Linked DNA regions of Rattus norvegicus. The protein of the gene in region 2 interacts with the protein of the main gene of each other region in a pairwise test. Links are inferred from orthologs where the notes say so. Each region holds a gene or a part of one and is shown on either strand. Other genes may lie near its edges. The genes, in order: Zfp36 and Xrn1.

Region 1 (4,583 bases), on a different chromosome or scaffold from region 2:
GCAGAGAGTTCAGATCAGTGTGAGCCAGGGTCGACCTTATTTAAAAAAAAAAAAAAAAGTTAAACTAAAATAAGTCCTCTGTCAAGCTCGCCCAGGCTGTCTACGCGGGGTTCAGAGTCCCCTAGGGGCCGGCTTTGGGGTGACCCCTGACCCTGGCCGCCCGGGCTCGCCTTCCGGCACATTCCGTCCTCGCCGCCCCGCCCCACCCCTCCCTCCTTCCTTGGCCCTGTGGGGACGGAAACATCCTGTCCCTGCCCGAGCTGGGTCAAGAGCCGGAGGGACAGGCCTGGAGCACCCCTTAGCCAAGAGAACTAGCTCTCCTTGTTCCTTTTGGGTGACCTCATCCCGCCACGCCTCCTCAGGTGAACAACCGGGCTAACGTCACTTCCTGCCAGGTAAGCGCCCCCCCCCCCCCCCCCCCCCCCCGGCAGCAGTGCTCACAGGAAGGTCTGGAGGTCAGTTTACCCACCATCACAAGGCTGTGGACCACGGAAAAAAACAAATTTCATCACAGTTCACACTCAAGATTTTATTTAAAAATTCCAAAAAAACCCACAAAAATAGACTTGTACGGTAACAATATATTACTTAATATATTATAGTATATACTTAATACAGTATCAGTTTTAACATTACAAAAAGAAAAACGGAGTAGACGACCCAATATATATAAATACTATAAAATCTTATTACAATAAATAAAGTCGTCATAAATAAAGGGTCCATTGGTTGGGGCAGGGGCGTGGGGGAAAAGGGATTTGGCAATGGCTTTGGCTATTTGCTTTGGGAGGGAAATTTGAGCACCAGGATTCTCAGGAGAGGCTACAACCACCGGACACTGAACTTCGGGGTCTAGTAAAAATTAGGATAGTATTGTGGGAGCCGGCTCTTCACAGCACTTAAGATTCCAGGAGACCAGAGTTTCCGAGGGGCTGGTGCATACCTGTAACCCCAGAACTTGGAAAAGGCTAAGGCAGGATTATATTGAGTTCAAAGCCAGCCTGGGGTACCGTAATAATCCCCTATCTCAGAAACAACATAAGACTTGAGACCTGGAAGATCAACTGTCAACTGTACCCCTCAAACATGCTACATCTCAGGTACCCTAGGAACGGATCCACCCAAACACTGAATTTGCAAACTAGGGACCTGCCCTAGCCCAGCACCAGGGGAATGGGTTAATGCAACTTGGAATGTCCAGGAGGAGGGACTTAGAGGAGTCCCCCCAGGTCCCCACAGCAACGAGCAGTTCCCTCCCTCTTCTTTGAGATCTAGCTGATCCACACTGGGCAGGCACTTGTCACTCAGAGACAGAGATGCGATTGAAGATGGGAAGACGCCTTGGGGGTGCAGGGGGCTGAGGAGGCCCAAACACCCCGGCCTCAAAGACAGGCGAGTCTGACCCACCCAGGCTGCTGCCGCTGCTGGCGTAATCATCAGGGTCGGATCCCAGAGAGTGTGCAGATGGGCTCCGAGCCAGACCACCCAAGGGCCCCCAGATGGTGCTAGGGGTAGTAGACCTTCGGCAGGAGGGACAACAGGCTGGGGTAGGGTCTCTTCGAGACACAGGGGTCCCAGGGGCAGCAGAGAAGGCAGAAGGGGAAAGTGGAAGGTCCCCAGGCGGTGGTGGGGAGCTGGAAGGCGAAAAGGAGCAAGAGGACAGGGAAGGGCCAGAGAAGCCTGGAGGTGGTGGTGAGGTTCTGCGGCCTGAAGGCAAGCCTGAGAAGCTGATGCTTTGTCGGAGCACATGGGGCTGGCCAGGGAGAGCCAGGTCCTCGGTAGGGTTGTGGATGAAGTGGCATCGAGAGCCGTAGGGGCAGCGGCCCTGGAGGTAGAACTTGTGGCAGAGTTCCGTTTTGTACTTGGGGTGGCGATTGGCTTGGCGCAGTTCACCCGGGCCGTGGGCAAACTGGCACTTGGCCCCATAGCGACAACGCCCGCTCTCTGAGTAGGTCCGACAGAGCTCAGTCTTGTATCGAGAGGAGGTGGTGGGAGTTGCAGTAGGCGAAGTAGGTGAGGGTGACAGCTCAGGGCCCGGGCGGGGAGCCAAGGGTGCGAAACCAGGGGGTGGGGGTACCCAGCTGCAGCTTCGGCCCTCCACCAGGCTAGTGGAGCGGCCAGTCAGGCGAGAGGTGACCCCAGATGGGATGGAGTCCGATGAGTTTATGTTCCAAAGTCCTCCGGAGGACTCAGTTCCTCCGTGGTCGGGTGACAGGTCATGGCTCATCGACATAAGGCTCTAAGGAGAATAGGGTTCGGTTAGGCCACCAGAAAAGGTAAGGTGACGACGCCCCGCCCCTGTGGTAAAGCACTTCACGAGCTTGTCATTCCGGTTTGTGGGTTCTCAGCCTGAGCCCCACCCGGCTCACAAATTTCAGGGAGAACCTGACTACAGAGGTTTGGGTGTTAACAAATGACTGAAGCTAATCCAGAAGGATCTAGGGAGCCCAGTATCCCCGATGGATCGAGAGAGGGTACCCCCAAATCAAAGCACCACGGCTGCTCGCCAATTTTGGGCCTTTAGACCTCCCCGGATAAGACCGCCCATCGGGCGCTCGTTTCACAACTTAGAGAAGCCGGCCAAAGCTGACCCAGGAGGCCAGATCTCTCTAGGACTCTGACCGGGTCAACTCCCCGCTCAACTTCAACACCTGCCTGGCCGCCAAACCGCGCCATGGACAGCGAAGGGTACTAGACAGGTGTGGGGCCGCTTCCGCCCTGCGCGAGTGACAGCAGTGCGCCAGCTTTCCGTCCCCAGGGGATCGCCGGTATCTAGACCGAGGCGCCGGGCTCACGGGCTCCCTCTCTCACTTCCAGCCAGTTAGGGCTAGTCTGAGAAGGAATGGAGGCGTCCGGGGCCTAAGTTTGGTGCGTCGAGGATCCGAGAGTGCTGTCTAACCAGTACTCACCTCGTAGATGGCAGAGAGATCCATGGTGGCGCGAATGGCCATGGAGAAGAGACCGACAGTCGGTTCGCAGAAGTCAGGCTGTGGGACCGCCGCAGGAGCTTTCGCCTTTTATGGGGCGGCCCGGGGGCGTGGCCACGAGAGCTTCCCGGACGCGCCCCCGCGGCGTAGCCCGGCCGGCCTGGTACTAGGCCCCTTCCGCCCATCTGCTGGTTAGCATGCACAATGTGCCTGAACTTGGCTCTCCCACAGCCCTCTCCCACGAGGTTAGTGGGGAGGGCTGTGTACCACAGATTTGGTGGTGATGGGAGTGGGGCGTCTGACTAGTTTTCAGAGGTTGAAGGTAGTCGGGAAGAGAACTGGGGCAGAAGTGGGGGCAGGGCTCTAGGGACAATTGACAAGGGCAGAGACTGAGAGGGCGTGTGCGTGTGAGACAGACGGGGGCGGGGAGAAACAAGCTGGTAGAGACAGAGATGGCCAGAAGCTGAGAGAAAAACAAAGAGACAGTGAGAGACATTCACACTGGACCCGCTGGTTTGGGATTGTGATTCCAGTCACTTGGGGAGGCTGAGGCAGGAGTCTGGGACTTCAAGGCCTGGCTCGACTGTATTGTGGGTTCTAGGGCAGCCTAGGTAACTTAGTGAGACTCTTGTCTTAAAAAGTAAAAAGGCCCCAGATGTTGGCTCAAACTTTTAATCTCAGCACTTGGGAGGAAGAAGCAGAGGGATCTCTGTGAGTTCGAGGCCAGCCTGGTTTACAGAGCGAGTTCCAGGACAGCCAGGAATACACATGAAACAAAAGACTGGCATATGGTTGTGATCCTGGTTCTGACCTATACGGAGTGGGGAGACAATAGGGAGAGGGGCCTGGGACACAAATCTCAGTGAGGAAGCCGGTTACAGAAGGATGAAAAGGGAAGTTGAAATAAAAACTAAAACCTGAAGGCACAGAACCTGTAAGACAGTTGGCTCAGGTAGGGACCGCTCAGAACTTTACTTCGCTCAGCAGCGCCCTTCCAAGTCTAGCAAGGCTGGACAGAGCCCATTTACCCAAGCTGCACTTTAAATTAAGAGGTTTTGCTTCCGAAGCTCAAGGCTGTAACAGCTTGAGTCTTTTATTAGGGAGGAAGCTCGCCTCTATTAAAAATATGGGCCACCTTCAACGTTGAATGGGTTTCTTGTAGTGCAAGCAGTCTTTAAGCAAACTTTAAACTCTCTCGAGGTCTGTAAGGGTTTTGTTTTTAGGTCGGGTCTCCTTAGCAGGCCTGGAACTCGCGATCCTCCAGTCTCCACCACCCAAGTAGTGTTAGGATTACAGAAATAGCTGCCACACCCAAGTAAAAAGTGTTATTTCAAAGATATCTCCAGTGAAAAACTGTTCTTGTGTATGGGGGTTATCATTGCCAGGAGTGTAATTACAATGCCGGGAAGTTCTAGCACGGTGCGTTGCGCACTTGTATCGAGATAGGGAGATTCTGCCAGGCTTCTCACTGGCTTGCCTCATAGGAGAGGGGTGTGTGTGTGTGTATGTGTGTGTGTGTGTGTGTGTGTATGTGTGTATGTGTGTGTGTGTGTGCGCGCGCGCGCGCGCGTGTGTGTATGTGGGGAATCCCTGGTGCAGCGCTTTCTGGGGCCAAGGGGCCTTCCTGGGCTGGTCCCGTGAGCAGGGCGGGCCGTA
Region 2 (3,810 bases):
AAAGGAGAGAATCTTGTAGACACCCTCATGTAACTATCACCCAGACTAAAAAACTATTGTTAAGGCTCTATTATTCATAACGATTATTTTTATTTTTCTGGTAGCACTAGGAAATAAACCCCAGACTTCTCTAGTCTTAGAGTTTGAATCCAGAACCTCATTCAAGTGCTTTATTGTAAGCTATTTCCCTAGCCCATTTTGATACAGACTGATACAGAATTTTGCAACTTTAGATTAACAAAGAATAGGGCTATAAATACTTTCTTAGTCTTTAAAATATTGTTATTTATAAAGACCATATTTAATTTAAACTTGACTGTATAGATATATGAAGATTAAGTAGAAATAGAAGGAAAGAGATGTATAAATGAGATGCCTTTACCAGCTCCAGGACTGGACTCCATGATAGTAATAGTGTAAGATCCACTGTATAGCCTGAACATAACAGGCAGCTTGATCAGCCAGAAACTCACTGAAACAGAAAGAGGCATTTTCAGCACAATGTTGTTTTCTGCAGATAGACCAATGTGTTCAGTGCATTTTTAATACCTAAAAAACTATAAACAGAAAAATTTTAATTTCTCTGAAATCCCATTTTGTCACATAAAAGGCTGTTTACCATTTTTCTAAACCAACTACCAACATAGTCGGTCCTGCTGTGTGTACCTAAGTCATCGTATGCCCTACTTTTGCCTTAAGAGTTTGGAGTCATCTAATAAACTTTCTACGAAGTGGTACCATCATCCTCTTAATTAGTAGGATTGAGAATAAACACAGAGTTCTCAGAAATCTCACAATAGCATTTACAACAACTTTTGAACAAGAGTCCCTTCTGGTCTCCTTTCTCAAAAGCCAAACATCATTATTAAGATTTGGGTTAAACAAATCTTCAAATCACCATAACAAAATAAGCCATAGTTTAAAGTAAAAAATTAGAAATCTCTTATCTTTGTATTTCCAGTAGGAATATTTATCTTTAAAATGTCTTACTATTATTAACTTGTTTATTTGTGTGTGTGTACACGTGCTATGATGCTTGTGTGGAGGTCATGAGATAACTTTCAAGAGTTGGTTCTCTTAGGTATGCTTTAAAATATGAATATATTACCTTCTTCTTTTGAACAATATTTCCTGATTGCTAGAAAGCTGAATAATGAAGAAAACCATTCTTATCCCCCACTAGCAATTGCTAGCTGTTTCCGTATGCTGCTTTACAGTCACTGCTAAGATGATGCTGTGCTATCTTGCCCTGTGGCTTTAGCTTCCCAAATAGCTCAGACTAGCCACACACGACCACCCCAAAGTTAGTCTTTGTTTACCCAATTTAAAAGGCTATCAGCATCTTCCTGAGTTGTTGGTGACTTTCTGCAATCACCATTTAACAGTGGTGCAGATTCTGGAGTTGAGGAGAGGAGAGATGATGAGTCAGAAGTTTAGAGCCTCCCTTTTTTTTTTTTTTTTTTTTTGGTTCTTTTTTTCGGAGCTGGGGATCGAACCCAGGGCCTTGCGCTTCCTAGGCAAGCGCTCTACCACTGAGCTAAATCCCCAACCCCTAGAGCCTCCCTTTTGAAGACAAGATCTTGCTATGGAGCTGAGCTGGGCATTTACACAGCTGCTAGGGATGAGAACGTGGTCCTCAGGTAGTGTGGCAAATGCTACCCACTAAGTTATCTCTGTAGCTCATCTTTTCAGTAATTTTATCATAGTGATAGAACACATGCCAGAATTACTATCAGGAAATGGACTTTGAATTTATGAAACCAATAAATCTCACACTACATCAAAATCATGTTGTTTTCTGAAGAACTTCAAAATAAAAGTCATCAAAAGCATACTCAGATACTACATCGACCCCCATCTTCGTCATGTAGTATGTTCTTTTATATTGTCTAAATTCAGTTTCAAACAGATCATCATCTTCAGTCTCATCTTCAAAATTATCTGTGAGAAAAACCAGAAAGATGTGACTGATAATCATGAATAGTGTTTGTGCTGTGACGCATGCATATCAAAGCTGATGCCGAGAGACTACTGTAGGGATGGATTCGGTTCACCACTGCTGGGTTAGCACTAATGAAGGAAGGCAGACAATGACCACGCCAATGCAATACACTAAACAAAAGCTTGTACTCACCTCTAGAAGCTACTCCTTCACCTTCTCTTTTGTCTAATGCAGCCCAACTTAAAGAATTTTCCTGGCCCTATAAAAAATTTTAAATCATCATAAGATGAACACTAAGATATATCTCTGAGTCAGATGTATAAAAGGGAGATTAGAAAAATACTAACTACAACTGAAATGATCTTTTTTTTTTTTGGTTCTTTTTTTCAGAGCTGGGGACCGAACCCAGGGCCTTGCGCTTCCTAGGCAAGCGCTCTACCACTGAGCTAAATCCCCAACCCTTTTTTAAAAGATTTATTTATTTTATGTATATGAGTACACTGTAGTTGTCTTCAGTCACATCAGAAGAGGCACCTGGGTTCCATTACAGATGGTTGTGAGTCACCATGTGGTTACTGGGAATTGAACTCAGAACCTTTGGAAGAGCAGTCAGTGCTCTCAACTGCTGAGACATCTCTCCAGCCCTGAAATGACCTTTAAAGAATACACTGTAGCAGCTTACTTTAAAATAATCTTCTCATTCTCAAGACTTTTGTCGTTCCAACCTACTATATCTATATTCATTTTCTGCCCCACTTTTTCTATATATATTTTATGATCTTAACCCTTTCTCTCTTGCTTTTGAATGCCTAGCTACTGACACTCATAAGCTTTTCTTCGTGTAACTCTGGCCTCTATGAACTTTATGCTCATGGGTCCTAGCTGCATGTATCTCTGGTATACATTCCTGGAAGACTGGAGAAGGTTAAAGACTGACCTAAGGTAGAGGAGATAGGAGTTATTAACATGTAGGTTTTGTGAATCCAGGTTCCCTTTCAAGTTTTTTCTTTTCTTTTCCTTTCTTTCTATTTGAGATAGCCTTACTGTGTAGTCCAGGCCTGCCCTAAAGGTCAAGATACCCAAGCCTCAGTTCCCTGCTGGCCTAGAGGTCTCAGAAGGGATCAGGAGTACAAGGCCAGCCAGGGCTACATGAGACCTGGTCTTGAATAAACAAGCAAACAAACAAATAAGAAAACTCCTAAGGCTCCAAACAAATATAAACTCAGTGCTCTGCTGTTTTCAAATGACACAACTTAAATAATTTATTCTAAAAGTTAACTTATTCACTTCTTTAAAACAAGTTTTTTATCTTATATGTATACAAGTGTTTGTCTGAAGTGTTTGTATGTACACAGCATGCATTCCCAGTATGCACAGAGGCCAGAAGAGGGTGGCAGATCCCCTGAAGTCGGAGTTATTGTAAGTTGCCATGTGGGGACTGGGAACTGAACCTGGATCCTCTGTAACTGCTCGTGACTTTTGAGCTATTTCTCTAGACCTATTTATTGGCTTCTTCTTCTTCTTTTTTTTTTTTTTTTCTTTTTTTCGGAGCTGGGGACCGAACCCAGGGCCTTGTGGTTGCTAGGCAAGCGCTCTACCACTGAGCTAAATCCCCAACCCCTATTGGCTTCTTTTTTTTTTCTTTTTTTTTTTCTTTTTTCTTTTTTTCGGAGCTGGGGACTGAACCCAGGGCCTTGAGCTTGCTAGGCAAGCGCTCTACCACTGAGCTAAATCCCCAACCCCCCCTATTGGCTTCTTAATAGAGGAAAAATATCACTATTCCTTAGAGGTGAAAATAAAAACTTAATTTTTCCCTTAAATATGTATTTGTGATATGAGAGAAACACAGAGACAGAAGCCAAAATAAT

Evidence for each region.
Region 1: the proteins of Xrn1 (region 2) and Zfp36 interact in a two-hybrid assay, tested with the Homo sapiens proteins (2 studies listed by BioGRID). The link is inferred for Rattus norvegicus from reciprocal best matches to the Homo sapiens genes XRN1 and ZFP36.

What each region holds. Positions count from the first base shown.
Region 1 is NC_086019.1:92,796,118-92,800,700, forward strand, and holds Zfp36 (mRNA decay activator protein ZFP36), read right to left. Parts: upstream 2,992-4,583; 5' UTR 2,952-2,991; coding exon 2,910-2,951; intron 2,240-2,909; coding exon 1,301-2,239; 3' UTR 511-1,300; downstream 1-510. UniProt on the Homo sapiens protein: Zinc-finger RNA-binding protein that destabilizes several cytoplasmic AU-rich element (ARE)-containing mRNA transcripts by promoting their poly(A) tail removal or deadenylation, and hence provide a mechanism for attenuating protein synthesis.
Region 2 is NC_086026.1:105,428,144-105,431,953, reverse strand, and holds part of Xrn1 (5'-3' exoribonuclease 1), read right to left. Parts: intron 2,202-3,810; coding exon 2,135-2,201; intron 1,942-2,134; coding exon 1,836-1,941; intron 473-1,835; coding exon 383-472; intron 1-382. UniProt on the Homo sapiens protein: Major 5'-3' exoribonuclease involved in mRNA decay. Required for the 5'-3'-processing of the G4 tetraplex-containing DNA and RNA substrates. The kinetic of hydrolysis is faster for G4 RNA tetraplex than for G4 DNA tetraplex and monomeric RNA tetraplex.